Linked DNA regions of Cricetulus griseus. The protein of the gene in region 1 interacts with the protein of each later gene in a pairwise test. Links are inferred from orthologs where the notes say so. Each region holds a gene or a part of one and is shown in the gene's direction. Other genes may lie near its edges.

Region 1 (10,313 bases):
TTATGTTCAAAACCTTTTTTTTTTTTTTTCTGAAATGTTATATTAGGTTCTATCGAATCTTTGCTGATAAGATGCAGTCCCATGCTTCCCCACTGGTGTAGGGAATTTGACTGTCTGGAGGAAGTGATTCAGAGGTGCTATTTCTAGCCTGCCTCCAAGATCTTCTTAAGACACATGGCACTCTGACCAGTTTTCCATGCTGTAGAAGTGTTTTCCAAGGTTGGTCCCAAACATAGTGCCATGATTCACATTCTGGTAGTTTATAGAATCCAGACACTCATTCTTTCAAAGGTAGGCTCTATGTCACCTCTCCTTGGAACTGAGTGGGATTTTTGTTGACCAGTCGATTATGATGCTAGGATGCCATTGGCTTTCACTGTTAAGAAGTCATCCACTTCCACTTTTGCATATCAGAATTCCCGTTGTCTTGGAGCTCAGCCACCTGGCCTTGGGAGTATTCCAGAATCCCCCTTGAGAGGAACCACCAGAAATTTGCCAACAATGTGAGATGGCTTGAAATTCGCTTTTCTGCCATCATCAAGCTGTCCAGGCTGATAAAGCATGGGGCAGAGTTGCGGCTTCCTCGAGGATCCCAATGCATACTGCAGATTTGTGTATATTTCTAATCTTATGGTTGCTCTGTCTATCTGCCTACAAGGGTAAATCCGCAGTAGGTAAAAAAGCTCATGCTTTTTCTAAAATCTTCTGAAGATCTCTTTGGGGTCATTTACTTTTTGGGATTTTGTTGTTGTTGTTCTTTGTTTTTTGAGACAGGGTTTCTCAGTGGCTTTGGAGGCTGTCCTGGAACTAGCTCTTGTAGACCAGGCTGGTCTGGAACTCACAGTGTTCCACCTGCCTATGCCTCCCCAGTGCTGGAATTAAAGGCTTTCACCACCACTGCCTGACTTACTTTCTGGGTTTTTAAAGCAAAAAACCAACCATCCCAGATTTCTGGTTACTTAAAATTCTTGTTTTCAAGTTCTCACTATTTTTCAACTAAAAAGTGCTCAGGGATGATGTGGGCTGGAGAGATGGCTCAGCAGTTAAGAGCTTTGGCTGCTCTTTCAGAGGTCCTGGGTTTGCTTCTCAATACCTTCCCACATGGTGGCTCACAAAGGGAGTCTACAACTCAAGTCCTGGGGGATCTGATGTGATCTGCTTCCATGAGCACCAGGCCTTCCTTGTGGTACACACACATACAAGGGGACAAAATATCCATATGCATAAATTAAATTGTTTTTGCTAGCTGTTGGTGGCAGACACCTTTAATCCTGGCATTTAGGAGGCAGAGGCAGCCAGATCTCTCTCTGAGTTCCAGGAGAGCTAGGGCTATACAGAGAAACCCTGTCTGGAAAAATCACAAATTCTTTTTTTCAAGAGCTGCAAACAGTGCCTACTTCATATGCATACCAGATAATCCATGTGATCATTTAATATCACACCCAGCACAAAACATTTCTCATATTCTTACTAGTTTTTCTGTGCTCACATTCTGAGTTTTCCTTATTGCATTTTCTCTCATTTCTCATAGTACAGGGTTGCTCTCAAGCTATTTCATATCTCATAGAACTCCTCATTTAGGATAGGGATTCTCAAACTGAGGGTCACAACCCTTTGGGGGTCAAATGATTCACAGGGTTGACTAAGACCATCGGAAAACATAGATATTTACATTATGGTTCATAACAATAGCAAAATTGCAGCTATGAAGTAGTAATGAAAATAATTTTATGGTGGGGGGTGGTCACCGCTGATTTAGGAGCTCCTTTAAGATGTTAAAGACCTCTTTGAATCATTAAGGCCATTAGTTAATGCTTCTCTCTGTTCCAGTAGCACCCTGGGAAAACCTGTTACAGCTTCACACATTAGCCTGCAATCACTGTCTTTTCCACAGTGGACTCTTTCAGTTCAGGAAGGCATGGTCTGCTTTTGCTCTGGTCTCCTATGGTAACTCAGCTCCAAGCTGCAACATTCTCCCTTTCATTCACCTTCTACTCTTTGTGTCACTGTGCTGGCAGCCAGGGTTAGGTGAGGCCTGTGCTTTGGCAGACCTGCCTGGGAAAGCAGCTGCATTGTTTTTGCTACAACCTTAGAAAACGTTAACAGCATCTAAACAGCACGTTAAAATGGAAGCAGCAACAGCCCCTTAAGTCTCATGAAAGGAGCTGGAGAAACGGTTCTGCAGTAAAGAGCACTTGGTTCTCTGGCAGAGGACCCACCTGGAGGCTCACAACCATTCTTAAGTCCAGTTCTGTGGATCTGGCCCCTGAAGGCACCAAACCATGTATGTTAGTGTTGTTAACTTGATAGAATCTAGAAACACCTAGGGAAAAAAGCCTCTGGGCATGCCTGTGGGGGACTTAATTGATGTATGGACACCCATCTTAATTGTGGTTGTCACCTGGGCTGTATAAACAGAGAGGTAAGCACTAGCATGAAAAATTCGATGTGACCAGCTGTCCTTAACTATGGTGATTATCCCCTTTGAACTGAAATTAACCCCTTTTCCTTTAAGTTGCCTTGTGGAGTATTGTGGTGATATTTTATGATCTAATAAAGCTTGCTTGAAGATCAGAGTGCAAAGCTAGCCACAGCCATTCAGGCCAGACAGTTGGTGGCACACACCTTTAATCCCAGAAGACAGAGGCAGATGGATCTGCGTTCACCACCACCCTAGGAAAACCTGTAGGGAGGTGGAGAGAGAGGAATCATAAGGCAGAAGGAGACAGGAAAGCTTGGATTTAGAGGTTGGTGGAGAGCAATGCAGTCTGAGGACAAGGATCTCCCCTTCCTTCTGAGCTTTGGTAGAGGTGAGAACTCTCTAGTGGCTGGCCACTTTGTTTTTCTGATCTTCAGCCTTAACCTCAATATCTGTCTCTGAGTTTTTATTATCAATATCAACTATTATTCGTGCTACAGGATATTTTATCACAGCAACAGGAAAAGAAATGAAAACACCCAACAATCCCTTTTGGGACCCCTCCACTTTTAGGGCCTTCACTCTGAAGGTACTCCTACTCCTTTAGGGATTACTCCCCTACTTGTTGCAAATCCTTTTGGGGTGGGGGACAGGTCGGAGAGCCCCCCTCCCTTTTTTTGTTGATTGTTTGCTTATCAAGACAGGGCTTCTCTGTGTAACTTTGGAGCCTGTCCTGCAACTTGCTTTTTAGACCAGGCTGACCTCGAACTCAGAGATCCTCCCGCCTCCGCCTCCTAAGTGCTGGGATTAAAGGCGTGCGCCACACCGCCAGGCGAGGCCCCCCCCCTTTTTTTTTTATGTGAAATTAAAACATTTAGAATTATTTGTCAGGGCCTTGACAACCAGTTTCCCAGTTAGAAGCTTTGCCATCGAGTGCTTCTCGTTTGGAACAAGCCCCCCGATCACCAGGTCGACGGAGATGCGGCGCAGCGTCAGCCCGCCGCGCAATGCGGGAACATTGAATGAACAAATGGAACGAATGAATGAATGAGCTACGCCGGGGGCCGGGCCTTTGTTACGTCGCCCACCGGCGCAGGCGTGGTCGGTCGCACGTACGCTACTCGTGGACGCCGGACACCCAGTCTCGCGCAGATTCTGCCGCGGGCGAAGCAGCTCGGCGCTGCCTGGCGCCGCCTCCCCCAAGTCCCTGCCCCGCCGCGGAGCGTCACTTCCGCCACCCCCGGCTGGGGTTGGGGCGGGGAGTGCGGGGGAGGGGGCCATCAGGTCGGACGGAAGGCCGCCCGAAGCCCGCGTCCAAGCAGGGACTACATTTCCCGAGGGGCCTCGGCGGAGGCAGCGGCGGCGGGCGCGGCGACGTCCCCCGGAAGTGGAGTCCGGGACTTCCACTCGTGCGTGAGGCGAGCGGAGCCGGAGACAAGAGCAGAGGCCGAACTCGGGATCTGACAAGATGGCCGGGCTGCCCCGCAGGATCATTAAGGTAACCGCCCAGGCGGGCTTCGGGCCTCCCGCTCGGCTCTCCTCCACCAACGCGCCGGGCCGCGCGGCCATACGCTTCACTCGGCAGCCGCTGAGGGGCCCGAGGCATCGCGGAGAAGGGTCTGGCCTCGGCGGCGGGGAAGTCGGGCGCTGAGGAGGGGGCGCCGAGGAGACTTCCGGCCGCCGCTGAAAGCCGGACGCCGGGGGCTCTCGGGCTGCGAGGCCGCGCGCGGCACGGGAGGCCAGGCCGGTGCCGGTGCCGGGTGGAGGGCGGGGCTGCGGGCTTGGCGTCTGGCGCGGGACCGGCGCGGGCCTCGCCAGGCTTTCTTCACCCGCGGGCGGGAATCGCGGCGTGGCCTGGACTCCGGGCGTGGGTTGTGGCCTGGGCTGGCCGCTTCGCCCCGGAGCCCCCTTCTCCTGGTCGGCGGTCTCGGGTGCAGAATGAATGAACCGGCCCCGAGAACCGGGCGGGGCCGCGGGCCGCGAGTCCAGCCGCCGACCGCACATGTTCGTCCTGGCTGCCCGCGGTCGGCGGCGCCGGGGGCTTGGCGCCCGGGTGGGTGTCCTGCCCGCCGTGTTCGCTTCCCCGCGTTGCTGCCGGTTATCTCCGCGAAGTGATTTTACTCCGGTTGGCAAACTCTTTTTTCTTTTCTTTCTTTATTTTTTTGGCCAACTGTTTTCTGTTCCGAGGCACTGGTTCAGCCCAAAGCATCTCGGTTATGGGGATGATCTGTAATAGTTCGCCTCTGTTTTCGTGCGCCTTCCGTATACTAAGCGGTCTCGAGGCTCTTTAGGAATACTGTGTTTTGGTGAGTACGTATGGAACCATGAAAAAACTCGTATCTTGATTTTCTGAAGTCTTTACATAACAGCGTTGAGACTTCAGACACGATAGGCATCTGTTTTTATGAAGGATATTTAGTTAAAAAAAAAAAAACCCTACACTGCTCACCATGCCAGTGATATGCCCATATTGAAGCTTCGTTTTGCTTGCTGTAATCTAGTGAGCTTGAATTTACAGCACTGTTCACTCTTCTGAAGTTTTGGGCGAGATTTGTACTAATTATATCGAGGGCCCCTTTGAAGGATGTGATGCACTGTCTAGTCCCTCGGGCAGTCACAAATGGGTGTGAGGTTGGGTGTATGACAGAAAGGTGCTTAAATTAGAAAACAAGACCATTTATAAGACATTCTTAGGAAGAAAGAATAAATTGTCAACGAGCACTGTAGTCTTGACATAAACTTTTACTGCTATATTATGAATCTCAGATTCTTTCAAAGTAGATTTTAATTGTTAGGTCGTGCGTTGGAAAGTCCTGACTCGTTTAATTCTGATACAGAGACATGAACACTAGTGATCATGTTAATCAGGATTCCATTTGAAAAATGATTGCTTCCCACCAGACCACCGGGTTTTTATTGTTTGGTTAGGGACTAAACATACCACAGATTGATAATGAATATAATTCTCTAAAATTCACACTGAACCTAACAGTTGGTGTAGTTTTTTTTTTTTTTTTTGATTTTTGCTTGATTGTGAAGATTAATATTCTGCAGTAATACAAAAGTCTTGATTGGGAAAATAAATTCTGTGGAATATTGGCTATAAATTTACAGAAATGGTTTAAAGTAGGATGTTGAGGAGCTTGTTTAATTCATTTGGTACACAATGCTTAAGCATATATTCAGTGTTGCCATTTTGCTATTTTAAAACAAGGTAGTGGTAAACTCGTGCTGAGACATACAATCTTTACAGTATTTTATTGCACCCACCTCTAATTTATGTAATATTAATTGACTTCAGTACTTATAGCTTTAAAGGATTTTTTTTTTTTCCCCCATCAATAGGGCAGGTTAAGAGATTAGAATAATTTTTTTGTTTGTTTTCGAAGCAGGGTTTCTCTGTGTAGCTTTGGAGGTTGTACTGGAACTCACTCTGTAGACCAGGCTGGCCTGGAACTCCCAGAGATCCTCCTGCCTCTTCCTCCCCAGTGCTGGGATTAAAGGTGTGTGCCACTGACACCCCCTAGAATAATTTTTAGATCCATTTTTATATTATGTAGGTTCTATAATCAGTTAAAAATATGCTTTTTCTACTGTTAGGGATTGAATTGAAACTAGCTAGGACTTTGTATGTGCTCTGCAAATGCTTTACCACCAAGCAACACCTCAAGCAGAAAACGTATTTACATTAAAATTTATTTTGAAAAGTAACTTTTGGGCCAGAGAGTGCTCAGATATGGTGCTTGCAAGCTTTCTGAGTTCTACCCTTAATACTGCACACAAACCAGTTTTGGTATTGTATTTAAGTGTTACTTTTTTTTTTCCCCCCAAGACAGGGTTTCTCTTTGGAGCCTGTCCTGGCACTCGTCTGTAGACCAGGCTGGCCTGGAACTGACAGAGACCCACCTGCCTCTGCCTCCCGAGTGCTGGGATTAAAGATGTGTGCCACCACACTTGTCTGTCATGGTGTTTTATACTTATGATTCTAATGTAATAGAGGAAGGAGGGTTTAGAAGTTTATCATCCCTGGCTGCTTAGGGGGTTGAGGCCTGTCTAGAATATATGAGACTTTGTTTCAAACAGGTTAATACAATACTGGGGTCTATGTGACTAGAACAGTAAGTGGGTAAGGGTCGATGAAGCCATAGGGACATACTTTTTTCTATTGGATTATTTTATTTCTTGGTAGACTTTGGCTTTCAAAGGATAATATTTACTATTGCTAATAGTCTTTTTTTAAATTTTGAGACAATATTCCATGTAACTTGTGTTGGCCTCAAACTCAGATTTCCCTGCTGCTGCCTTCCCGTTCTGAAACTAAAAGTATAGGACACTATACCTCGCAATATTACTCTTCTCATCTCACAAATATTAAGTCGTTTGGTTTGGTGAGTTATTAATATGGTGCTTTCTACCTCGTGATGGCCATTGTATTTGTATATTTCTAAAGCCATTTGTTCCTTGATGCCACTTTGTGAATTAGTGACTGATTCAAATGTTGTGAATTAGTGACTGATTCAGATGGCTTTCCTTACTGTTTCTTACTTGGAAATAACATAAGGTATGTACAAATACCTTGGTAGCAATAAAGTACAAGATAACCACCCCTTCACTTTAGACAGGGTCTCACTGTGTAGCCTTTGCCTACTGATTGTTGGGATTAAAGGCTTGTGCCACCATACCCAAATGAGATGACTTTTGAGTTACTGTTCACCCAGTGGCAGCCTCTTTCAGATTCCTGTGTTCAATCCATTAGAAATTCTGTAGCCTCTACTTTCTATGTTAGGCATATTTTCCCATCTGTCTGAAGCCCCTGATCAAATCTGTCCTTTGCCTGCTTTTTTTGCATTAGCACTAAGAAAAACTACAGTGGTTCTCCATTATATACTAAAATCAACATCTTGACAAACTGCCCCCAAATACAAGACCCTGCAATACTATCTGGGATCAGCTCATCTCTTGCACTTCCTACAGTTACAGTGTTGGCTTTGCTCTCCCTAGGATAGTGAATGGTTAAGCTTATTCCAATCATGGGGCTTCACTGGTGTTTGTTGGCTTGCTCACTTTGATAATATATTGTGTTATTTTCTCACAAGACCTGTCCTAAGAAGGGCTATCTTAATTTTAACTGTCTTGTTTTTATGTCCCCATAGTCACCTCCTTTTTGCTGTTTAACACTTAAACACTTTTAAAGCTGTATTATGGCTTTGGGTGATCCTGGCATTGCTTCTTAATGTCAAGAGAAACTTTGGCAAATATATGATAGATACTGCAATACCATTTAACATAATCAATGAGATTTATTTGTAAAAAGTTCTTTTGCTTTGTTTTTTTCGAGAGGAGTTTCTGTGTAGCTTTGGAACCTGTCCTGGAACTAACTCACTTTGTAGACCAGGCTGGCCTGGAACTCACAGAGATCTGCCTGCCTCTACCTCTTGAGTACTGGGACTAAAGTCATGCGTCACCACTCACCTAGCCTGTCCCGTCTGTTGTCATCCGCCCCACCCCCAGTAAAAAGTTTTACAAGAGCTGTGATTTTTTTTTTTTTTTTTTATTTTGAGGCAGGGTTTCTCCGTGGCTTTGGGGGCTGTCCTGGAACTAGCTCTTGTAGACCAGGCTGGTCTCTAACTCGCAGAGATCTGCCTGCCTCTGCCTCCCGAGTGCAGGGATTAAAGGTGTGCATCACCACCAACCAGCATGATTGCATATTTTAATTTGATATTGTTACTGTGTTTAGTAGTGTTCATTTGAACCAGCAATTTCTGAAAAAGTTTTATATATATATATATATATATATATATTTATACACAAGATTTCATGTAAACTAGGCTGACTTCAAACCTCATTTGTAGCTGAGGATGACCTTGAACTGGTGATTTCCTGCCTCCAAATGTGCCACTGTGTCTAGTTTTATGTGGTGCTAAGTATTGAACCCATGCTAGGCAAGCACTCTGCCAACTTACTTGTCTCTTGTGTTCCCCCAAATTCATAAAACAAAAAAACAAAAACAAAAACAAAAAAAACCCAGAAGACTAGGACCAAACAAGCTCTAAAGGGTGCAGAGAGGATTAAGATTTTGCCTATCTGGGTTTCAGTTCTTCACTACAGACACCAGTGTTTTATGGTGTGTCCTGTCAGAAAGACCACTGTAATTCAGTTCATGTGTGTTCTGCTTCTTCCCCTACTCATGTAAATACTTGATATCCTCTCCACCCACCTGGCCAACAATTCTCCTTCAAAGTGAATTACTTTTTCTAGAGCTGCCTTTTAGGATTTTAACTAATTGTTGAAAGCTTTTAAATTGTGTCTTGCAATATTAATAGTTCTGATAGTTTTGCTTATGTGATTTTTTGGTGGGTGATGCTGGCTGTTGTAGTTGTTTTTTTAGCTTTAACCTCCCCTGCTCTCCTACAAGTCCTTCCTAACTACCCCAGACTGTCCTCTAACTTGAGATCTTGCTTCAGCCTCCAGAGTCCTGGGATTATAGGGTGCGGACCACCACATCATTTGGCATTAGAGTTTATTCTCAGTTCAAAGCTAAACAAAGACCACAAAGTATCACTAAAGTGAGAGATTTATTTATCATAAAGAAGAACTGATTATTTTGGGAACAAATAAGTCTATTTTAGTTTTATGTTACACTGATACCCTGATCTTAAAAAGCCTTAATTTTTTAGCAGGGTGTGGTGGCACTCGCCTTTGATCCCAGCATTCAGGAGGTCGAGGCTTGTGGATCTCCTGAGTTTTGGGCCAGTATGGTTTATAGAGCAAGTTCCAGGACAGCCAGGGTACACAGAGAACCCCGTCTTGAGCCCCCCCCCCCATTTTTTCAAGTGTGTGCATGCATGCATATACATGAATCATGGCACACCTATGGAGCTCAGAGGGAGTTGGTTATCCTTCTATCATGAGTTCTGGGGGTAGAACTCAGATTGGCAGGTTTATTATGCTTTTACTCACTGAGCCATCTCTGATACCATTTGATTGTTTTTGAGACTATGTTGGTCTTGAATTTGACATGGTGCATTAGCTTCCAGAGTGTTGGGATCACAGGGATGCCAACACATCCAAAGTGATATTCTTTTATTTTTTTAAATTATTCATGGACAAGAAAATACTGTCTGAAAATGGTACTGACTTACTAAAGGAGTTGATTTATTTGATAAAATCTAGTAAGCTGGTGATGTGGTGGGGATATGTAGCTCACTTGGTAGATTGCTTGCCTAGTGTGTAAAAGCCCTGGGTTTGGTGGTTCCATAGGCTGTAGCTTGAACACTCAAGGAGGTAGATCAGAAAGATCTAGAACCTCAAGATTATTTATCCTCTTCTACTGAGTTCCATGCAGCCTTGAATACATCTCAAAACCAGCCTATCCACCATTGAACCTACTGACCGAGCAAGTCAGTTTCTTGAGATTAACCATTTCCCCCCCAATTTTACTTCTCCTGTTTGAGCGTTTCTGCTTCTGTCCCCTTTCCTCTGTCTTTTACTTCTTTTTGAGTCAGGGCCTTCTATGCTGTGCATCCCAGGATGGCTTCTTGATTTGACCCTCTTGTTTCAGCCTCCTAAGTGTTGAGATTATGGAAGCGAGCATGTCCTACCCAGACACATTCTTGGTTTTTATTTTTTTCAGTCCTGCAACTCACTATGTAGTTTAGGCTCATTTGATACACACATTTTAAGCTTGACCTCCTATTATTACTGATCCATAGCCAGCCCCTAAAATACTTTGAAACGTTGACTTCATCATTTAATTGCTGATACATATTTGTTTAAAAAAGAAAATTGGCTGTTCAGATTTGCAAGTGCTCCGTTAATTTTCAGTGCTATCACTTGTTTTGTCTTTGTCAGTTTGGCTAATTTTAGATAGATCAATTTGTATTCTCAGTCTTTA
Region 2 (10,213 bases), on another chromosome or scaffold:
CACAATAGACAAAAGATGATTGCACCAAAGTCCAACTTGCTGAACCAATGAGTTTTTATTGGAGTAACTTAGAAGAGTATGGGTAAAAGGTTACTTGAAAAACCAGGGATAGCTCAAAAGAGCAACTTTATCACCAAAAATCCCACCCTGACATGGCTCATGACTTAGGAAAATTGCAACTCTGGAGTTCTTAGCACAGTTTTCAGGCAGTTCAGTGGTTTCTCCTCCACACCTTGGCTGGTCAGTCTCCTCCCCCAGAAGTTGTTTACTCCTATAAAACTGTTCCATTTCCCCAGAGGGGTGATGTTTTGTTTATCTCCTGGGTCTTATGAGCCTCCTTCCATCTCCTGGAAGGAAAGTTTGAATGAGTTGAAAACTGCCAGACGACGTGCAGCCACATCAGGTTTGCCCAATTCTAATTCATCTCCCTAAGTTCTTTCTTGCCTCCTCTCATTCCATATGTATGTTCTTTTCTCCACGGTACGATTCCTGGGTCTCAACAACATCAGTACATTATCCTGTCATATGTCTAAAATATTTTCAGAATTGATTTGCTCAGGGGCTGAGGATGTGGCCGAGCACATAAACAGTGCTCCCCTCAACTGCATTTTTTATGGTCATTATTCCTTTAAAATGTAGTGGCTTTAATTTGTTTTAGTTTGCCTTTAGTTAGGCCCATCTTTTCTGTTTTTTTTGTTTTTGGTGGTGATTTGAATTTAACTTGTTGAATTATATGTGTTTTTCAAATTTGAAGTTGGATTTATTGGTTTAATTTTAATGAAAAGTTCTTTAAAAGGGAAAATATGCAAAGAGTATACTCAGAGAATTATCCTTTTCTCTGGTATCCCTTTTACCTTTGTAAGTGACAAACTTTATTATTTTCTAGGTTGTCCATTGTTTCTGTAAATCCAGGAAAATAGTATGATTTATTATACATTTCCCTTGAAAATGCTATATAATACATATGGTTTTTCATAGAGTTTTTCAGTTGACTATATTGGAAATCATTCTCCACTAGCTCAGAGAGTATCCTCCTCAATCTTTTTTTTTTTTTTTTTAAATAGCTACATGGTACTTCACTGTGAAGAATATTTGTAGCTGTTATTTTTTTTAAAAAAATTGGGACACCCTGTAGTTTCCTCTATGTGATAAAAGTTCTTCTGTTCTTTGTTGCTCATACTGTCCAATGATGATACACTTAGATCAAAGCTTTGTCGTGGCCCTTATCCTTTTTTTCACAAGTCATGTAATATCTCAACCAATTCGTGGTGCTATTTCTCTAGTACATCTTTTTGTTCCCGATTATGATTTTTGTTTCTTTGGTTGGTTTTTTGTTTGATGTATTGAGACAGCCTTGACTGAGCTTAGAAGTTGCTCTATAGACAAGGCTGACCTTGAACTCCTGATCCTCCTGCCTCTACATCTCAGGTGCTGGGTTTTCAGTTATATACCACCATCCCCAGTTTACATTTTGCTTTCTAGTTCTAATTTAGGCCTTTCTACCTATCTCAAATTAATTATAAATCTTTTGATAAAATCCCTTGTAAAATACAATGCTTTCTAATTTCTAATCTCACTAAATCCTTCATTAGAGCTGTATGAAAATGACTAAATTTGGTCCCCATTTTCTTTGTCCCTTCCTCCCCCTCTACTTGAAGAAAGTAGAATTGTGTTTTGAAATGGTATAGCAATTGAGAAACAGATAAGAGGAGACAGAAGCAAAAAAAAAAAAAATCAAGAGAATAGAGCGTCAGCAATCATTTTACTGAAAGCTAGCCAAATACTTGCTTTTAACTACATATATTTCCCTCCGTTTAAGTTAATATTTGTAGTCTCAAGATTGTTTTTAAAAACAAAGCATTCTTGAGTCCCTTTGCCATGCTTGGGAAGAAAAAAAAATCTTTTGGACAATAATATAATTGTGGACCACTTGGCCCCAGATGAATACCGGAATCAAGCGAGGAAGAGCTAAAATCATGTCCCATCAGAGCAAACAGATTGGGTCCTGCTTTGTCATGTCATCTTGACTTCTTTTTGAGTCCAGCGAATTAAGAAGTAAGGGTGCAGATGAGGTGGGAAAGCAGAGTGATATAGGTCTGAAATCTTACAGGGACAAAGGGTTATGTAGAGTCATTCATCCCCCCCCCACACCAGTGATGTAGTGCCCAGATCACTGGTGTAGGATACAAAGATCAGTGTTCTACTTAGAACACCATCTATGAGCATGGGCAAATCACTTTCCTTCCATCCTTGTTTGCCCTGTGAAATGAAGGACATTCATGCCTAGGTGGCCTTTCTGCTCTGAGTTTTCATGTTGCTGAGCTCTGTACAGGAACTTTTTGGTCCATGCAAGGCCAGACTGACTTCTCACAGAAACAGACTTCAGCAGTAAAGATCCAGAGAGTCCATAATTGTGAGGATTCTGCTATTTGGAATAGTGACCATTCTTGTGTTCTTTGGCAGAAAAATGATAAAAATTAGCTTTGATCAGTGGTTGCTAGGTGCCAGAAGCCTGGCACACGTCTAAGTGTATGGCAAATAAATAATGAAATCATAAGCGCTGGTTCATCTCATTGTATGTTTCAAGGCTCAGAAGAAAACAAAATGAATTCACGTGGGTGGGTTATAATAGATTTTCGGTGTTTTCCTTTTAATCCTGTTTTTTTTTTCCCTGTTGACTGATGCCTTTGTCTTCTCCACTTCACAGGCCTGTACAATTCAGTGGATAGCTGGATGATTGTGCCCAACATTAAACAGAACCATTACACAGTGCATGGACTCCAGAGTGGGACACGCTACATCTTTATTGTGAAAGCCATAAATCAAGCGGGCAGCCGGAACAGTGAACCCACCAGGCTAAAAACAAACAGTACGTTTTGGAGATTCTAGAAGGAAAGACCAGCTTTCCTCTCTGTGCCAGGGAGGACAGTTAGCCTGAGAGACTCCCCCATTATAATGTGTGAGAGCAGTGGCTCTGAGTGGAGGAGCTTTACTGTTATGCTTGGTCTATGGGATTTGTTGGTACCCATGGATGTTTGTGGCCTAAGATATATAGAATAGCTTGTGGCCTAGAAAGAAGTTAGGGAAGGGTTTTTCTCTGCCTTCCACCCCTGGGTCCTATGCTTGGGAGAAAAATTCAGTTAAAGAGTTGTTTCTTATGACGATCTACAAAGCTCTACCATAGAGAAGCCCTATCGGTTAGGAATGTTCTCGGTCACAACTGACACAGTTTAACAAGTATTTCCAAGTAGCTTAAGTTACTAGTTGTTTTAGTTAGTTTGTTTGTGTTTAAACATACATAGCAAGAAGTTTGAGGGCAGCCTGATCATGGCTAGTATAGCAGCTCTGAGATCTCATGGAAGGTTGGAGCTCCTTCTTTGTGCATTGGTTTACCCACAAGGTCGAAAGATGGCCAGTGCAACTGCTGATGTCATAGTTCCCTTACTAGGAAGAAGGGAAAAGTTGGTAATCTTTTAATTAGGAAACAGAAGCTTAACTGGAAATTTCTTCCAGTCTCTTTGACTTCAGTGTCCTTCTTATTAGCTGTCCCTAGCAGCAAGGAAGGCTGGAAGACTGAGTGAGAGAGAGAGAAAAAAATAAGTAATGGATACTGTATTAGCACACAGTGTCTGTTACAGAGGCATATTGTGTACTAAATCTCTTGCCCTAACCAGCACCGGGGGCCTGGGACAGTGTTTTTGGCATAGGGTTATGAGTTTCTGCAGCAAAGCACATGTTATCTTTCATCATCGACCATGGAGCAGTCACTGTAACAAAGTCGACTAATGACACGCACTCTCCAATTAGAAAGCCAACATCTCCGGTTGCTGAGCTCTTCTCAGTTTTTCTTTAGTGATCAATGGCCTCATTAACACAAGCTTTTCTACCTCAAACATTGCAACACTCTTTTAAAAAATCTACCCACATCCCCACCCACTCACTGAAATAAACCAAAGTACCAAACATATTTGAGGATGTGAGACTTTGAGTGGTCCCTTTTAGTTTCATAACATATGATGGGAATACTTTACTAGCTCCCATGTGCTTGGACTCTGGCTTCCAGCATAGCACTCATATGAGAGCCCCACATTTTTCACACAGATGGAAAATAATGCCTGAATGAAGGTTATTTTAGGGGAGGAATGACTTGTATTCTGACTTAATTGCAAAGTGTGCCATCTTGCCTGCTTCCTTAATATAATCCAAACTCCAGCTGACCTGCACTTAGCGAAGGATCACCGTCATGTTGAGGATCCTCTGCTAATGATGGTCCCGGAGGGAAAGGCACAGTTCTTAAATCCTTGATCATGCTTTCCCCCTTTCCTCTACTTTTTTTCAGGCCAACCCTTTAAACTAGATCCCAAAATGACTCACAAGAAGTTGAAGATCTCCAATGATGGATTGCAGATGGAGAAGGATGAAAGCTCTCTGAAGAAAAGCCATACCCCAGAGAGATTTAGTGGCACTGGGTGTTATGGGGCAGCAGGAAATATATTCATTGACAGTGGCTGCCACTACTGGGAGGTAGTCATGGGTTCTTCAACATGGTGAGTGGCTATTTTTTTCTTTCCTTGTCCCAGCTTCTCTGCTGTTAGGTTCCTAGGAGATTCAATTCTACCGCACAGCTAAAATACCAATAAGTCAAGGTTAAGAGATATATGATAGGCACCAGTGCTAGAAAACTTGGCCAGCTTTTAAAAGATAAAAATCATGGAAAATATAGTGGGCTAGGAGCTGAAGTGCTGTATCACTCTAATTGCTGGCTTTACAAGATCTGATGATAATTAGCATTATGCCTGTAAATATAAATGTTTTAAGGAAGAAGCACAGTGAGTCACTCGTAGGTCCTAAATAATGTCTAACACAACTCATATCATCCATAAATACTTTTCTGTCTTCTCCTCCACTGTCTCAGGTATGCAATTGGTATCGCCTACAAATCAGCTCCAAAGAATGAGTGGATTGGCAAGAATGCCTCTTCCTGGGTCTTCTCCCGATGCAACAGTAACTTCGTGGTGAGACATAACAACAAGGAAATGCTTGTGGATGTGCCCCCACAGCTGAAGCGTCTAGGTGTCCTCTTGGATTATGACAACAACATGCTGTCTTTCTATGACCCAGCTAACTCGCTCCATCTCCACACTTTTGATGTGACCTTCATTCTTCCAGTTTGTCCAACATTCACAATCTGGAACAAATCCCTCATGATCATGTCTGGCTTGCCTGCCCCAGATTTTATTGATTACCCTGAGCAGCAGGAATGCAACTGCAGGCCTAAAGAATCCCCCTATGTGTCTGGGATGAAAGCTTGCCATTAAATGGCAAGAGAGCATGTAATTCACTGGCTCTCCACTTCAGCATTTCTTCCCCTCTTGAGCCGCCATTAGTGTTCCATATGTGAGATACAAAATACAGTTCATTGGAAGCACCCTAAATAACTAGATATTGTAGATTTAATTTTTTGTGCATTAAAGCTTATGTTTGGATTCATGTATTGAGTTACTCAGAACAAATGATCTGAATAGTCTGGGTTCATGACATTGGGGAAGAATTTTAGAGAATATCTCTGTCATCATTGGGAAATTAAAAATTCCCAGTGGTTTGAGAGTATAAATGAAATTGGAAAGAATTAGCCTTTCTAGCAGTGGCTAGGTGGACCAGATGGAATTTGCACAGTTTCAAATTATCATATTTGTCACTTTTTAATAAACTAACAATCAAGGTGTTATGAGAATATCATACATGTGTATATATAATATATAAAATGACTGAATTCATTTTATGAGCAAAATGGCATAGATCATTTTATCTATTACATATATACGATAAACCTTAATTTGTTCATTTAAGTGAGAGATATATTGAAAAGGAAAATGAATTATACTGTCCATTCTTATCCCCTAGATGAAACATCACAGTAGACTGGTGTTTTTCTCTTCTTACCTTTTAGCCTTTCTTCCCAGACCCCCTCCTGTCACACATAAAAACACATGCAATCAAGACACAGGGAGTGAGAAGAGCTCTTGGTTAGATTAGGAGAGCTCTGTGGACAAGATTGCTTAAGAGATGCTACTGCTACATTGAAAATTGATTCTGGTCTAGTGTGCTGTGTAGCATAATTTCATTGATATTATTTAATAGAGGAGATTTATTTGAATTATTAAAAATTGTCATAGAATATTTCAAAGAAATATAGTTTTGTTACTCTCAAATACATAGTTACTAGACTTACGCTAAAAAATAGAGTTGCATAATGGAGGTTCCTCAGAATTCGCCTTACTTGATCAGTAAGAATAGTGTTACAGGTTCAACAACTATATGAGTCCAAATGTACTTGTATTTTCAGATGAAGCTCTCCTGAAATGCTGTTTTCATCAATAGGATCAATACTCATTCTTGTGTGATTTTGTTTACATTATTCATTCACTTAGCATCCCCTTCATGACAACATAAATTCTATTCTACTTGTCATCACACTAGTTAACAGGAACCGAGGTTCATGGTTTGTGATTTCACCAATTATTTTTGCAGAGATTGGAAATGCCAGAGAAATAGAGCCTTATACCAGGAGCAAAGTCCATTCCTTGGTAGTTGTAAAATGATTACTATTATGTAGTTGTAAAGTGATAGTAGTAGTCATTGCCTGGATTGTATGAAGCCTTGCTGCAGTGTCAAGTGTTTCCCCTGCTTTCTACCAGCATGGTGGATTCTTATTTATTAATTTGTTCAATGAGCTATTAGATGCCACACTACTGCTGCAAGAGTGCACATATCACTAAAATGCAGTCCTTGCTGTTAAATGACTCACTCTTACTCACAAAAGACAACATATCTCTGTAAATCCCACCAAGTAACACATAGATTGTTTGCTTATCTACCATGAAAAGCGAGATCAGTGCTGAACAAAAGGAAGGCTCAGATTTACATGTCAAGTGACAGCATCAGTTTCTTTGGCTTTCAGTATCATCTGTACCTTACAGCTGACTCATCAGGGAATGAGCAACTTCAGTAAAGCTCAGAAGTGCTGTAACAAGCATGTGGTATTAGAAAGCTCCCAGCCTGGAGACTGAGATAGTCCTAGCTTCTCTGCCATTTACCTAGCAATGTGACCTCAGGAAAGTACTTTTCAGAGTCTGTTTCCACTTCTGTAAAATGATTCTTATTTTATAAGGCTGGAGCAAAGGTTTTAAAATGGAGTTGCCTAGCACAGCACCTGGCATTCACTCTATGTGCCACCAACATTCCTTTCTTCTCCAACACCATTCATTTATTTTTTGTATCCTTTGAAGTTTTAGTTCTAGGAACAAAGCTTTAGTCCCCATTCTACTTTTGACTGCACCCTGGGACTACCTTTCCCTTCTTCTCTCAGTTATCTAGTGACCTCTCAAACTGGCTTATGTGGCCCTCTGTGGCACTCCCTGAGCACACTGAACACCCCGTCTCAGCAATAATCACATTGTATGGTAGTATTTCTTAGAATGTCATTTTCAGAATGCCGTCCTCAGAAGGCCCATTTTAGAGCCACCCTTAGTGATTTGTTCTTTAAAACAATTGATACTTGGCCCCTAATCCTGATCCACTAAATTAGACTATCTGGGGACATAAACTTACATTTGTGACAAGCTTCTCAGGTGATTCTGATTCACACAAAAGTTTAATGTATAATTATTCTCTTCCTGACTAGAGTGGGAATACCTTGAGGGTAAGGACTGTGACTTTTGTTACTGTTGTATTTTTAATGCCCAGCACAGTGTCTAGAGCAAAGTAGTTGCCTGGCTAATGTTTGTTGAAAGAATGTATGACTGAACAAATGAATAATCAAAATTGCTCTGTTTGACTATGATGTCCATTAGTGGTATTTGTTATTCTTGGACAAGCTGGTTACTTATTTAGTCTGTATTGATATTAGTTTCTAAATGTATCAGGGCTTATACATACAAATGAACACTGTTCCAAATTGGCAGTTATCATAAAGAATTGTCTTTGGAGCATGTGGTACCATTCTCCCAATAACATTTCATGTTTTCATGAACTTCAGTGAACTTTGTTGTTCTTTGAAGGTGGATTTAAGTTTTCATTATAGGCAGAGATAAGCCTACTGAAATAGGCTACTGAAATATAAACTGGGAAATTAAATAGGGTTTGTGGTAAGCAATGAAGCTTGCCCCTGAAATCCCAACTTCTGAGGCACATAATTGAAATGCTTTCCAAGGAACAACATGGTGGCAAATCACTCAGAGGGCTATGATGGGTTCCAGATATTTGCTTCAGTAAACTTAAGGACTTTCATAAAATACTGGCAATGGCAGGGACCAGAGGCTACCACTAGCTAAAGCCAGTTGCACAAATGGAACATGACCTACATTTACCATCATCAAGAAATGTGATTCAATAAATGTGGTTGTTGTTGCTTTACTCGATCTAACTATTCAGAACTTTTTTCTCCTAGAAAATTATTTTCTGTCTGCAATTTATGCTTGTTTCCACTTTTTATATTGTCTTGTTGAAGAAAGCACAAAATAAAGCTAAGCTTGTTTTGAGAATACGAAAGAAAATTTAATGCCACATTGATGTTCTTGCTACTTGTAAGAGTAACTGCATCTGGCTGTGTTTTATTATGTAATTCCATTGTGTGTCTTTGGATGCAGTGAAGTTCATATTGCAACAAAATCACTTATATATGCTTTTCAGCTCAAGCATTCTAGGTGAATTTTCTCAGCTTACATGGTTTACATATTTGTATATGACTACCTGGATGGATCAATTTATGGATGGACTTTTAAATAAGCTCAGTTGCTGAAATCCCTTCTTTCAAGGAATGGAGAATGTGAGGCAGGTAGACATGAACCACTCCCACAATTATTTGTAGCTCCTTAAGCCAATTCCAGCCTGAGAGTCATTGGGCTGTATTTGGCTGCGCATTACAAGTTGGCCAGATTTATTGCCATCAGGTTAGGCAAAACTGCCTTTTATGATGTGGTCTGCCAGCTTCAGAAATATGCTGTGTTATTGTTATTGGCTAGAATATTTATTAGACTATTGTTGGACTATTTTTTATCAAATGCTTTACCCCAGGCTTGTTTGTACTGGGAGCTCTGGACTAATAGTGTCTCTCCTAGTGACAGAAATACGAGCATCTGTGGATTACACAGTCTCACCCCTCTCTAAAGATCCCAACCCATCCAAAATGCTATATTATGAATTAAATAAATATATATGTATTCATGAGTTGTTGATTGTCTCTCATTGGAATTTATTTGGGGAAAGCACTAAATGGAAGATGAGTTGCCAGAATTGGGTAAGTGGCTCAGGGAGTGGTGTGTGTGTGTGTGTGTGTGTGTGTGTGTGTGTGTGTGTGCATGCGTGCACCAGCAATAATATAGAGATCTCATCAAGTAAAGATCTAGGATGTTCTAAATTTTCGGTCCAATCATGAAGACTTTGGTTTTAGGATAAGGATATAGTCAAAATATCTAAAGAAATGAAGGTCGAAGGTCCAAGAGAATGTGATCCATCTAGCTTCAGATATTGTGGTAGAAGGCAGGAATTAAAGAACAGTTAACATCCCACTGCTAGAATCCATTAGTTAAGACCAGAACATGAACACAATTAAGTGAGATGACTGACCGACTTACTGTTAAACATCTGGCCTATAGGAGGAAAGGAGGACCTGGGAGAGTTAAAAGGCTCCTTGGGCCTGGATTGGACATATCCTTTTCAGAGCTGCCATTGCACTGAGACTGAAAGGTCATGCATGCAATGTGGAGTGAACATGAAGGGTAATAAAGAAATGGATTGAAGAAGCTCAAACGCAAGGGAGTTAATCCACAAAGGAGACAAGACTTGAAACACTATGAGTTTAATAGCCTGTTAGTAGCCTGAGTGAGTACCAAATATGAGGGTGGTGTTGTCTGCAACTAAGGTTTTGATAAAGTGTGTGTGTGTGTGTGTGTGTGTGAGAGAGAGAGAGAGAGAGAGACAGAGACAGAGACAGAGACAGAGACAGAGAGAGAGAGAGGCTTTTGCTTTTTGGAAAGGCCAGCTTCATTCAGTGTGATAGTAGAAAAAGCAAGCGTCCTTCATGTCCCTCACGTCCCTCATGACCCCCTACCTAGGAACAGAATCGTTCTCAGAGTGTCAGTGAAATTGTGCCATACATGGTTGAGCAACATATATGACATGATAGCTAATGAGAATGGTTCTTTCTCTATGA
Region 3 (10,213 bases), on another chromosome or scaffold:
CCTACTAAAACTGATCAAAGCAACAGGGTTTTTTTTTTGTTTTTTTAAACTTAAAGAAAGTGTTTATAGCTGGGCGGTGGTGCACGCCTTTAACCCTAGCACTTGGGAGGCAGAGGAAGGTGGATCTTTGAGTTCAAGGCCAGTCTGGTCTACAGAGCGAGTTACAGGAGTCAGGACTACACAGAGAAACCCTGTCTCGAAACCCACCCACCAAAGTACGTACGTATGTATGTATGTGCGGGTGTTTTGCCTCATGCCTGCGCGCATGCATGTGCAGGGCCGGTGGAGGCCAGGAGGGGGGAACTGAAATTTCAGGTGGCTGTGAGCCGCCTTGTGGATGTTGGGAACAGAAGTCCAGCCCTCAGGAAGAACAGCAAGTGCTTTTAGCTGCTTAGCAGTCTTCAGGCCCTCAAACAAACCTTCCAAATACAAGAACCAACGTGGTTCTAACCTCTTTAAAACAAAGTCTCACTATGTCCCTCAGGCTGACCGGGAGTCACAGAGATCCTCCTGCAGTTCTGGTTATTATCTTTAAAACAATAAAAATAACCACGAGGCGATCTACATGGCGTTTTAAAAATGTTCCTCTCATCTCCTTCTTTTTTGTCCAAAACAAAAAGTGAAAATAACCAGAGAGACTTTTACAGCGTTAAAGGGTTTTTTTCCCCTAACGTCAAATATGCTTTTTTTTTTTTTCTTTCTTTCTTTCTTTCTATTCGGCAGTTGTAGACTGGAAAGTTGTGACCTTTTTTTTTTTTTTTTTCTCTGTGAAGAACTTGGGGGCTGAAGCGGGGGCAGGGCCTCTTCCAGGCAGGCCAGCCCAGAGGCTGCACATCTGTTTTCAAGTGAGCTGGCTACCATGAAGTACAAACTGTCAGGAAACGCCTCGGGGACGAGCCGAGCCCAGGAAGTCACGGAAATCCCCGGCCGGCCGCCTGCCACCGAATGAGAAGGAAGTGGTGTGGTTTGCCCCTCGGAGTTCCCCAGCCGGGGAGGAAAGCACCGCGGGCCTGCGCGGGAGGGCGAGCCTGGGCGGGGCAGGGTGAGGCGGGTGGTGGGCGCGGTCCGCCTGGACGATTTAAAGGCGTCGTGACACTCAGCCAACCCCATAGACCGGGCGACAGGTGCCACCCCAGAGATCGGAGGTCCCTGCGGGCGTGCAGAGCCTGAGGAGCGGGCTGCGGTGAGTACGCGCGCGCGCGCGCGCGCGCGCGCGGAGAGCGAGTGAGCGTCCCTGGGGTGGCTCGAGGGTCGCCAGGGTGGCTGGATCTCAGGCCTGCAAAAAACGGCTGCTGTGCACCTCTGGTCCTGCCCACTGGCCCTGGCTGCCCAGAGGCAGCTGGGAGACTTGAGACTGTGAGAACCTGGGCTTGGGGAAGCTTGAGCATGGGAGTGGTTGTTTTCTTAGTAATCAGCCTGGAAGTACACTAGGACTCTTTCTTTTGGGGGAGGGATAGGTGTTGGAGACCACTCGCACACTATAGGTAGGTCCCAGTGGCTTTGAACTCTGGAAAATCCTCCTGCCTTAACCCCTTGAGTGACGGACTTACAGGTCTGAGTCACTGCACCCAGTTTCTCAGTAGTGCTCTTAATCTAGTCAGGAAATGGCTGTGGTCATTTCTCTGTCTACTACATGCCAGGGTCTGCCCTAAAGACTTATGTCACCAACTGTACACTTAATCACCAATTGTAAGCAGTGGGCACCGTTATTAACTCCATTCTGCAACGACAAAACTGAGGTACTTGTGGTTTTTCTGGGCTTCACTGTGTATCCCTGACTGGCCTGGAACTGTGTAAGTAGAACAGGATGGCTTTGAACTCAAGGCAACTTTGATATCTACCTGCCTCTGCTTCCGGAGTGCTGGGATTAAAGGTATGTCTGGTCTCCTGGTTGTTTCCTTTGTAAAAAGGGACTGACACCCGTCCTATGATATGTGACTTAATAAATGAAGGTGCTATGGACATGATGAGCCCTGTCAACTGTGCTAAGAAATTCAACAAGAAGTTTTGCTGCGATTAGTAGTGCAGGCCTGTAGTTGTGGTACTTGGGAGTTCAATGCCAGTCTGGGGTATATGTCTCACACGACAGTTACAAGGCTCAGTGTCTTTGCTCGGCCTGTGACTGTGGCTACTACAGAAACTAAAGTATACTTCCTCTTCTGAAGGAGAAATAGTCCAAGGTGGAGGGAGAAAGACACATTTACCCTGCAGTGTCATACAGCCACCCTTGAGGTCTACAGGAAACGGTAGAGTAAGCAGAGAAGAGACCGGGTTGCCAAGCTGACCCGCAAGGAACCACTGTGAGGGACAGAGGACTCCTACATACTGATGTGGACAGGGGCGGGGATCAGGACAGGTCTAAGAGGAAGTAGGTCCCAGTGGCAGATGGCAACACTTCCTGTGGATTTGATGTTATGAATATGGAGTGTTTGAGGGGTGCTGGCACACAGAATATCTGGTTGTGTGGAGATGTGATTCACAGGCAAATGTTCTTTAGGCTTGGTTGGGAGGACCTGACCCGGGAGAAGCTAGAATAAAAAGCGGTCTTTGAGGTGGTCTTCATTTGGAAGTTGAGAGGGACTCAGCATAAGGACTGTGGCGGGACTAGGGTTGTGCAGTGTTTGAGGAGACGTGAGGCAGAGTCTAGTCAAAGCAGTAGGAGAGAGTGGCTCCATGAGGGGGTAGTTGTTTCTCTGAGGCTGCCAAAAGGCTTGAGACCACAGGCAGGCAGGGGCTGCACCTCTTTTTGAAGAACACAGTTAACTGAGTGAATGTGGCAAAGAGAGATTGGAGGAAGGGGCCGAGGCATGGAGGTATGTTAGGATGTAAAGAAAACAAACCCTCTGTTGCTGGGAAGGTGTCTATGGAAACCAGTGTAGCATCTCAGAAAACTAAACACTGAACTGCCATATGACCCAGCTTTCCCACTCCTTGATAGGTACATGGAGGAGTTTAAGACAGCTTGGGAGAAATTCCTGACTACCCTGTGTCTTAGTCACTGTTCTGTCACTGTGAGGAGACATGACCAAGACAACTTATAAAAGAAAGCTTTCACTGGAGGCTTGCTTATGGTGTCAGAGGCCCACTCCACGATCATCATGATGGAGCATGGCAGTTTGCAGGAAGGGACGGTGCTGGAGCAGTAGCTGAGAGAGAGCTACATCCTGATCCACAAGCAGCAGGCAGAGGGAAAGCCTGGGCCTGGTGTGGGCTTTTAAAACCTCAAAGCCGACCTCTAGTGACACACCTCCTCCAATAAGGACACACCTCCTAATCTTTCCTAAACACTCCACCAACTTGGGACTAAACAGTCAGATATATGAGCGTATGGGGGCCATTCTCATTCAACCCCCCACACTGTTTATTGTATCACTATTCACAACGGGACAGATTGAATGCCTGTTAACAGATAAACGGATGAAGAAAATGTGTTTGTGTGTGTGTACACTGGAGTACTATTCAATTGTAAAGAGAAAGGTATAAGCCCTTCATTAGTAATTCTAATAAAGACAATTAGAATCTGAGTTGGTGGCTCATGCCTGTAACCTCAGAACTCAGGAGGTTCAGGCAGCATACTACTGTTTGAGGCTAGTCTGGGTTACAGACTGAGTACCAAGCTAGCCCTAGCTGTAGCATATCTGTCTAAGACAAAACAAAAAAGGCACGTGAGAAGAGTAAAGTATTATGACTCTTGAAATTACTGCAAAGAGCACTGGGGCTGGAGAGATGGCCCAGTGCAGTCAGAAATAAAAAGGAATTTCTAGTTTTGTAATTTCATTATTGTTATATAAGATGTTAATTTTGGGAAGCTGGGTGCAAAGTATATGTGACATCTGCAAGTTTTTATATATATGCTCTGGTCTGTAACTCATGAGTTCTGTGTGAGATTTCTTGGCTGACAACACCCAGTGCAGCATTGTTTTCTCAGAGTTGGGGACTGAGGTAGGAGTCTTGAGTATGCTATCTGAGTGCCCTACCACTGAGCCCCGCTGACAGCCCGAATTAGCATAGCTTCTTGCTACAGACCAGTTTCTGTTTTGTATAAAGCATCTTAAGGAAAAGATCATGGTGGCACTTGCTTATAATCCCAGGATTTGGGAAACAGACAGGAAAATCATGAGTTTGAGGCTGTCTTAGACTACACAGGGAAATCCCAGTCTCGAAAAAGAGGGAGTAGGGGGAGAAAGAAAAGAAAAAAGACATTGTATTATAAACCTGAGTTGTTTGACTTTAATTTCTCTATTTTAAACAGGTTTACAAAGGACACAAACCCTTCTACTACTTGTAGCTTTTTTTCTGTTTTTTTTTTTTCTGTAAACCAAAACATCTCAAAATGGAGGCCTAAACCCCTTAAAGGGACTTAGTCTAATCTTGGGAGGTAGTTTTGTGCATGGACAGACAAATTCAGCCCTCAGTTGACTTTCGGGACTGTTGTCTAAAGATGCTCATTTGAAGTCTGTAGTCTGATTGTCTGAGGCGTTGAGTATTATGATTTGGTTGTGAACTTGACTCTAGGAAGGGAAGGAGTTCTGTGGCTGGGCACAGTGATGAAGCACTCTTCAGAAAGTTGCCTGGCAATTTCCCACTGGCTGGCACTTTTTAAAAAGTGCCCACATTCAAGAAAGATCCAAACATGAGTGCCGGCTATCCAGAGGAAATGAGTAATCTGCTTTGCACAGTAGTACAGAAGTGTACTCATGAGGTCACTGACACATTCAAAGATTGCAACAATGACAGAGAACAAACAGGAACAAAATGTTCTCGTAGGCACAGCAGATTTAGAGGAAGTAAGACAGACACTACAAGAGAGTTGAGAAACTGTCCACCATTGGTATTTTAAAGGTCTACACAGCACAACTTTTAAATAGACTGTAAGCATGAGAGTTATTTTGGCAGATGAACTAGTTTATTCAGAAAGAAATGTCATAGAACGACCAAGTTTTCATAACCCTGTGGAGGGGACAGAGAGGTTAGACACAATGATTTCTCCTGAGAGAGACTCTTGTTGACAGCTGTGGGATTTCTCCTGCCATTTAGAGATAATGAGTTGGTGTCCTTGGTAGAGAACCTGCCATATCTGTGAACTGCAGGAAGCCACTCCAGCCAGTGGCAGCAAACCCCCATGCCTTTACACAGGATGAATTTGCTAATGGCTAGTGAGTCCTTCTATGAGAGACTCTCAATTTGAAGGTCTCTGTGTTCAGATGGTAATAGACTTGTTTGTTTTGATAAATATGTGCTCAGGGAACACACTCTGTGACATAATTTCTGAGTTTGGGTCTCAAGCCTACATTCGTGGCCCACACCATTAAATCCCAGCACTCAGAAGGCAGAGGCAGACTGATTTCTGAGTTTGGGGTTGAGGCCAGCCTGGTCTACAGAGTGAGTTCTAAAACAGCCAGGACTACATAGAGAAATCCTGTTTTGAAAAAATCAAAAAAAGAAGGAAGGAAGGAAGGGAGGGAGGGAGGGAGGGGGAGAGAGACAGAGAGAGAAAGAAATTGAGAGATTGAGACTTGCTGTAGAACTGAGTGGTACCACACAGGCTTTGTGAGCCAGAGGCCCTGGGCTCAGTCCCCAGTGCTACAGATGAACAAACTCGGTGTTCTAAGTAGTTAGTAAGTCTTGGTCCTTTGAAAGGAAACAAAAACCAAACAAAACTCTTGAAGTGGTTTATTATTTTAAAATCCTGTCTGATCCATGTTTCATTCTATATGAATACATACATAGCTTCATGAACCAGACTTTCATGTGCAGGTTGGGTGAACGCCATTAGTGCCTCCTTGTAGCAAGGAGAAGCAGGCTTGCCCCTCAAGATGCCTGGCCCAAAGTGCCCAAACACTATGTTTCCAGGATGGAATTAAGTTCTATCACACATTGGCTCTTAGGGAGAATCTAGTTTCTATTGTATGCATGAAGATTGTGCAAAGGTATGGTTGTGTGTAATTGTGCCTTAAATGTATCAGGGTAGGATTTAGACTCTCATCCTACTGAATCCTGAAATACATAGAAGAAAAAAAATGAGTTTGTTCTTATTTTAGGTGTTCAGCCTAGTAGTAAAACTGACCAAAAGCCATGCACAAAACTACCTCCCCAGAGGAAGGCTGGTCCCCTCCCCTCCCTACCGATTCGTCATGAACATGGCTCCAGACAGTGTCTTCCTGTCCAAGCTGATGAAGAGTGCCGACACCTTTGAATTGAAGTACGACTTTTCATGTGAGCTGTACCGTTTGTCCACGTACTCAGCTTTCCCCGCTGGAGTTCCTGTATCGGAAAGGAGCCTGGCTCGTGCTGGCTTTTACTACACGGGTGTCAACGACAAAGTCAAGTGCTTCTGCTGCGGCCTGATGCTGGACAACTGGAAACAAGGCGACAGTCCTGTGGAAAAGCACAGGCAGCTGTACCCCAGCTGCAGCTTTGTTCGAACTCTGAATCCAGCCGGCAGTCTGGAAACCAGCCCTCAGCCGCCTCTTCTGTCTGCAGAGCCAAGCGCCGTGCCTTCATTATTTGCAAGTTTGGAGAACACTGGTTATTTCAGTGGCTCTTATTCAAGCTTTCCCTCGGATGCTGTGAACTTCAGAGCAAATCAAGATTGCCCTACTTTGAGGACAAGTCCCTACCACTTTGCAATGAATACGGAGAAGGCCAGATTACTCACCTATCAAACGTGGCCATTGTCCTTCCTGTCACCAGCTGAGCTGGCCAGAGCCGGCTTCTACTATGTAGGACCTGGAGACAGGGTGGCCTGCTTTGCGTGTGGTGGGAAACTGAGCAACTGGGAACCGAAGGATGACGCTATGTCAGAGCATCGGAGACATTTTCCCAATTGCCCATTCTTAAAAGATCCGAGTCAATCCGCTTCAAGATACTCTGTCTCTAACCTGAGCATGCAGACACACGCAGCACGAGTTAGGACGTTCTTTAACTGGCCTCCCAGTGCTCCCGTTCATCCTCAGCAACTTGCAAGTGCCGGCTTTTATTACACAGGTGAGAACCTCAATCTGAGACTCTTAAAGATCCAACATGTGTTATGTTACACATGTGACTGAGCAAATTTTGTGTACTCACAAGTGTGCTTCAAAATGAATTTTAGGACACAGTGATGATGTCAAATGCTTTTGCTGTGATGGCGGGCTGAGATGCTGGGAGTCTGGAGATGACCCCTGGGTGGAGCACGCCAAGTGGTTTCCAAGGTAACTGCCTTGAAATTCTCCTTTACATCTTATAAGATTTTCATGAGATACATTATCTTCCTTAGAGTACCTTTGCCCTTTTTTTTTTTTTTTTTTTTTTTTTGAGACAGGGTGTCTCTGTGGCTTTGGAGACTGTTCTGGAACTAGCTCTTGTAGACCAGGCTGGTCTCAAACTCACAGAGATCCACCTGCCTCTGCCTCCCGAGTGCTGGGATTAAAGGCGTGGGCCGCCACCGCCCCCCCCCCCTGTATCTTTGCTCTTAAGTACTGCAGATTTTGTTTTATTTTTTTATGCATGAGTATTTTGCCTACTCACGTCTAAGCACCATTTTGTGCAGTGCCTGCAGAGGCCAGAAGAGGGCGATGCACCCTCTGTGAGTGGAGTTAGAGAGGGTCTGAGCCAACTCTTGGGAGTTGGGAATCAAACCTTGGTCCTCTGGAAGAACAGCCAGTGCTCTTAACTATTGAGTCATCTCTTCTGCCCCATTACTTCAGATTTTAAACATTGTGAAGATTATGAAGAATATCCCCCCCACCCCCTCGAAAAGCCAAAAAAGAAAAAAAGTATTTACATAGATTTTTTTAAAAAGTGCTTTCCATTACTCTAGTTAAATTTTTTAATACTTTTTTTTGTTTGTTTTATGTGTGTATATTTTGTGAAGGTCAGAGAACACTTTTTGAGGGCTGGTTCTCTCCTTTTATCCTGTGGGACTGAACTCATGTTACCAAACTTGGTGGCAAGTACCCACTGAGCCGTCTCGCCAGCCGCTACAGTAGGAGTCCTGAGCCTGCACCAGCACTGTATGGATTCACTCTGTACTTGCTTTAGCAGGGGATCTCTAATGTAGGGATTGGGAAGCTCATCAACAGAAGGTTGTGCTGAGTGTCCCCATTCTTTCCCTCAAGTCTGTTTGCATGTTTTCAGACCATGACATTGTCACTGAAATGATCACATGACTTATGGAGAGAACTCTCTGCGTCCATGTTGGCTTAGCGGTATTTTTAGAAACCTAAGAAGAATGGAGAGCAGGGAGAAACTCTGAGTAGAGACCTCTTGGTGGCCTTGGCTTGAGGACTGTGCTGGGAGCTCCTCGTGATCACCACTCAGTGGCTCAGCCTTGACAGCACAGAGGCTACTCCTCTCCATGATCCTGCCTTTCGCTACAGCCCCTTCCTCCTTCCTGTGCCAAGTCAATAGTGTGGTGCTTATGTTTGTGTTCAAGCTCCTGAGGAATGTTTACCAGCCTACATAGAATGGCTCCGCCCAATGTGCCATAAACTTTTCAGGATTTTCAAAATTCAGAGAGATATGGTATAGCCTGGTAATAAAACTATAAAACATAAAGTAGTAAAGCTAATTTTATAAAGCAACTGAAGTATATGAAAAGTGCTAGAAGTTAATCAAATTCACCCTCCCCTCAATGGGCAGCACTTGGAGAGATGGGTCAGTGGTTACCGCTCTTGGTTCCCAGCACCCACATTCAGGCAGCTCACAACCACCTATAATTTCAGTCCCGGAGGGCCAGGTGCTTCTCACCTCCATGGGCCTGGCATTCACGTGCATAAACACACACACGGACACAGACATACACACAAGCAAAACAATGAACCTTCATAAAGCCCCATAAGGAAAACAAGCTCACACAGTGTCAGTCCCGGTAGCCCAGGCTTGCTTATTCTCCTAATGTTAGGAATCTGGTCTTTGGTGATTCTGTCACCTGGGTAACCAGATTTCACACAAGGTGAACACCTAGACATGAATGTGTCATTACATTTCACTTCACTTTCTGAAATTAAAATGAGTTTTCAATCATAAAAATGAGCACAATAAAACTACTTGTAGTGGCACTGTCCCTTCTGAGGCTGGTAATGAACAAAGTTGTCTTGTTAAGGAATGCCCAAGGCTTCTTTGCATTTTAGGTGTGAATACTTGATAAGAATCAAAGGACAAGAGTTTGTTGGCCAAGTTCAAGCTGGGTACCCTCATCTACTTGAACAGGTAGGAAAGACCTCTGTTTTCTTTTCAATTATTGCTTCCCAACAGAGAAATTTTATTTATTTTTAAAGGGTTAGTTGTTTAACAAATTATTTTTAAGAATTTGTTTGTAAAATAAATCACAGAGTAATATTTCAGTGAAAAGGTGAAAGTTGTTTTAAAACAGGCCCTCATCTTTTCTTTCAAAAATCAGCATCACCATGCCGGGAGCCATTCTTGTGAGAAAAAGATCTATAATTATTGGCCACATAAAAGACAGTGTTTGTTGTATTCCTCTTTAAGCATTTGTCTAACCAATCATCAATGTATTAAACTCTGAAGCAAAAAATAAATTAAATTTGAGGGGAGATGTCTACCCTGTAGTTTTTTTTGTTGTTGTTGTTTTTTTAAGTTTTATTTATGTATACAGTGTTCTGTCTGCATGTATGCCTACATGCCAGAAGAGGGCACCAGATCTCACTATAGATGGTTGTGAGCCACCATGTGGTTGCTGGGAATTGAACTCAGGACCTCTGGAAGCACAAGCAGCCAGTGCTCTTAACCTCTGAGCTATCTCTCCACACCTGTAAATTTTTCTTCAGTGACTTGAGAAAGCATTTGTTACTGCTCCTTGGAAAAAGCATATGGGAACTTATTTTATAGTCTAAGCTTCAAGAACTTATCAGCCATGGCTAGAGGAACCGAGTGCTGAGTCATCTATCCCAGCAGATGAGTAGGTACAGCCGCTGCAGATGCAAGGCCATCATGTGGCCTCTCCTGAATCCAGCCAGTCCTATCCTGAGGAGGCTCTGCTCACTGCAGCACACTGTCTATTGGATGCTGGTAACCTTGTTCAAACCCCTGGTAAATGTAAATGAAATGATGCTTTTGACTGAAAAAAAAAATGTCTTCTGGATGGCAAAGTGGTTAAGGTAGTAGGTTAAGTAAAGCAGCTTTGTTGGTGATTCTCAGTGCAGTAGTGGGATGCAGTTTACATTTTAACATGTATGTTTTTCCCCATAGCTATTATCTACCTCAGACACCC

Evidence for each region.
Region 2: the proteins of Ube2n (region 1) and Mid2 interact in a two-hybrid assay, tested with the Homo sapiens proteins (2 studies listed by BioGRID). The link is inferred for Cricetulus griseus from reciprocal best matches to the Homo sapiens genes UBE2N and MID2.
Region 3: the proteins of Ube2n (region 1) and baculoviral IAP repeat-containing protein 3 interact in a two-hybrid assay, tested with the Homo sapiens proteins (2 studies listed by BioGRID and IntAct). The link is inferred for Cricetulus griseus from reciprocal best matches to the Homo sapiens genes UBE2N and BIRC3.

The regions. Positions count from the first base shown.
Region 1 is NW_023276806.1:161,498,479-161,508,791, forward strand, and holds the start of Ube2n (ubiquitin-conjugating enzyme E2 N), read left to right. Parts: upstream 1-3,729; 5' UTR 3,730-3,887; coding exon 3,888-3,917; intron 3,918-10,313. UniProt on the Homo sapiens protein: The UBE2V1-UBE2N and UBE2V2-UBE2N heterodimers catalyze the synthesis of non-canonical 'Lys-63'-linked polyubiquitin chains. This type of polyubiquitination does not lead to protein degradation by the proteasome.
Region 2 is NC_048604.1:39,566,581-39,576,793, reverse strand, and holds the end of Mid2 (probable E3 ubiquitin-protein ligase MID2), read left to right. Parts: intron 1-2,707; coding exon 2,708-2,869; intron 2,870-4,339; coding exon 4,340-4,547; intron 4,548-4,915; coding exon 4,916-5,318; 3' UTR 5,319-9,228; downstream 9,229-10,213. UniProt on the Homo sapiens protein: E3 ubiquitin ligase that plays a role in microtubule stabilization. Mediates the 'Lys-48'-linked polyubiquitination of LRRK2 to drive its localization to microtubules and its proteasomal degradation in neurons.
Region 3 is NC_048597.1:122,235,454-122,245,666, reverse strand, and holds the start of baculoviral IAP repeat-containing protein 3, read left to right. Parts: upstream 1-1,048; 5' UTR 1,049-1,183; intron 1,184-6,041; 5' UTR 6,042-6,134; coding exon 6,135-6,987; intron 6,988-7,093; coding exon 7,094-7,193; intron 7,194-9,113; coding exon 9,114-9,192; intron 9,193-10,191; coding exon 10,192-10,213. UniProt on the Homo sapiens protein: Multi-functional protein which regulates not only caspases and apoptosis, but also modulates inflammatory signaling and immunity, mitogenic kinase signaling and cell proliferation, as well as cell invasion and metastasis.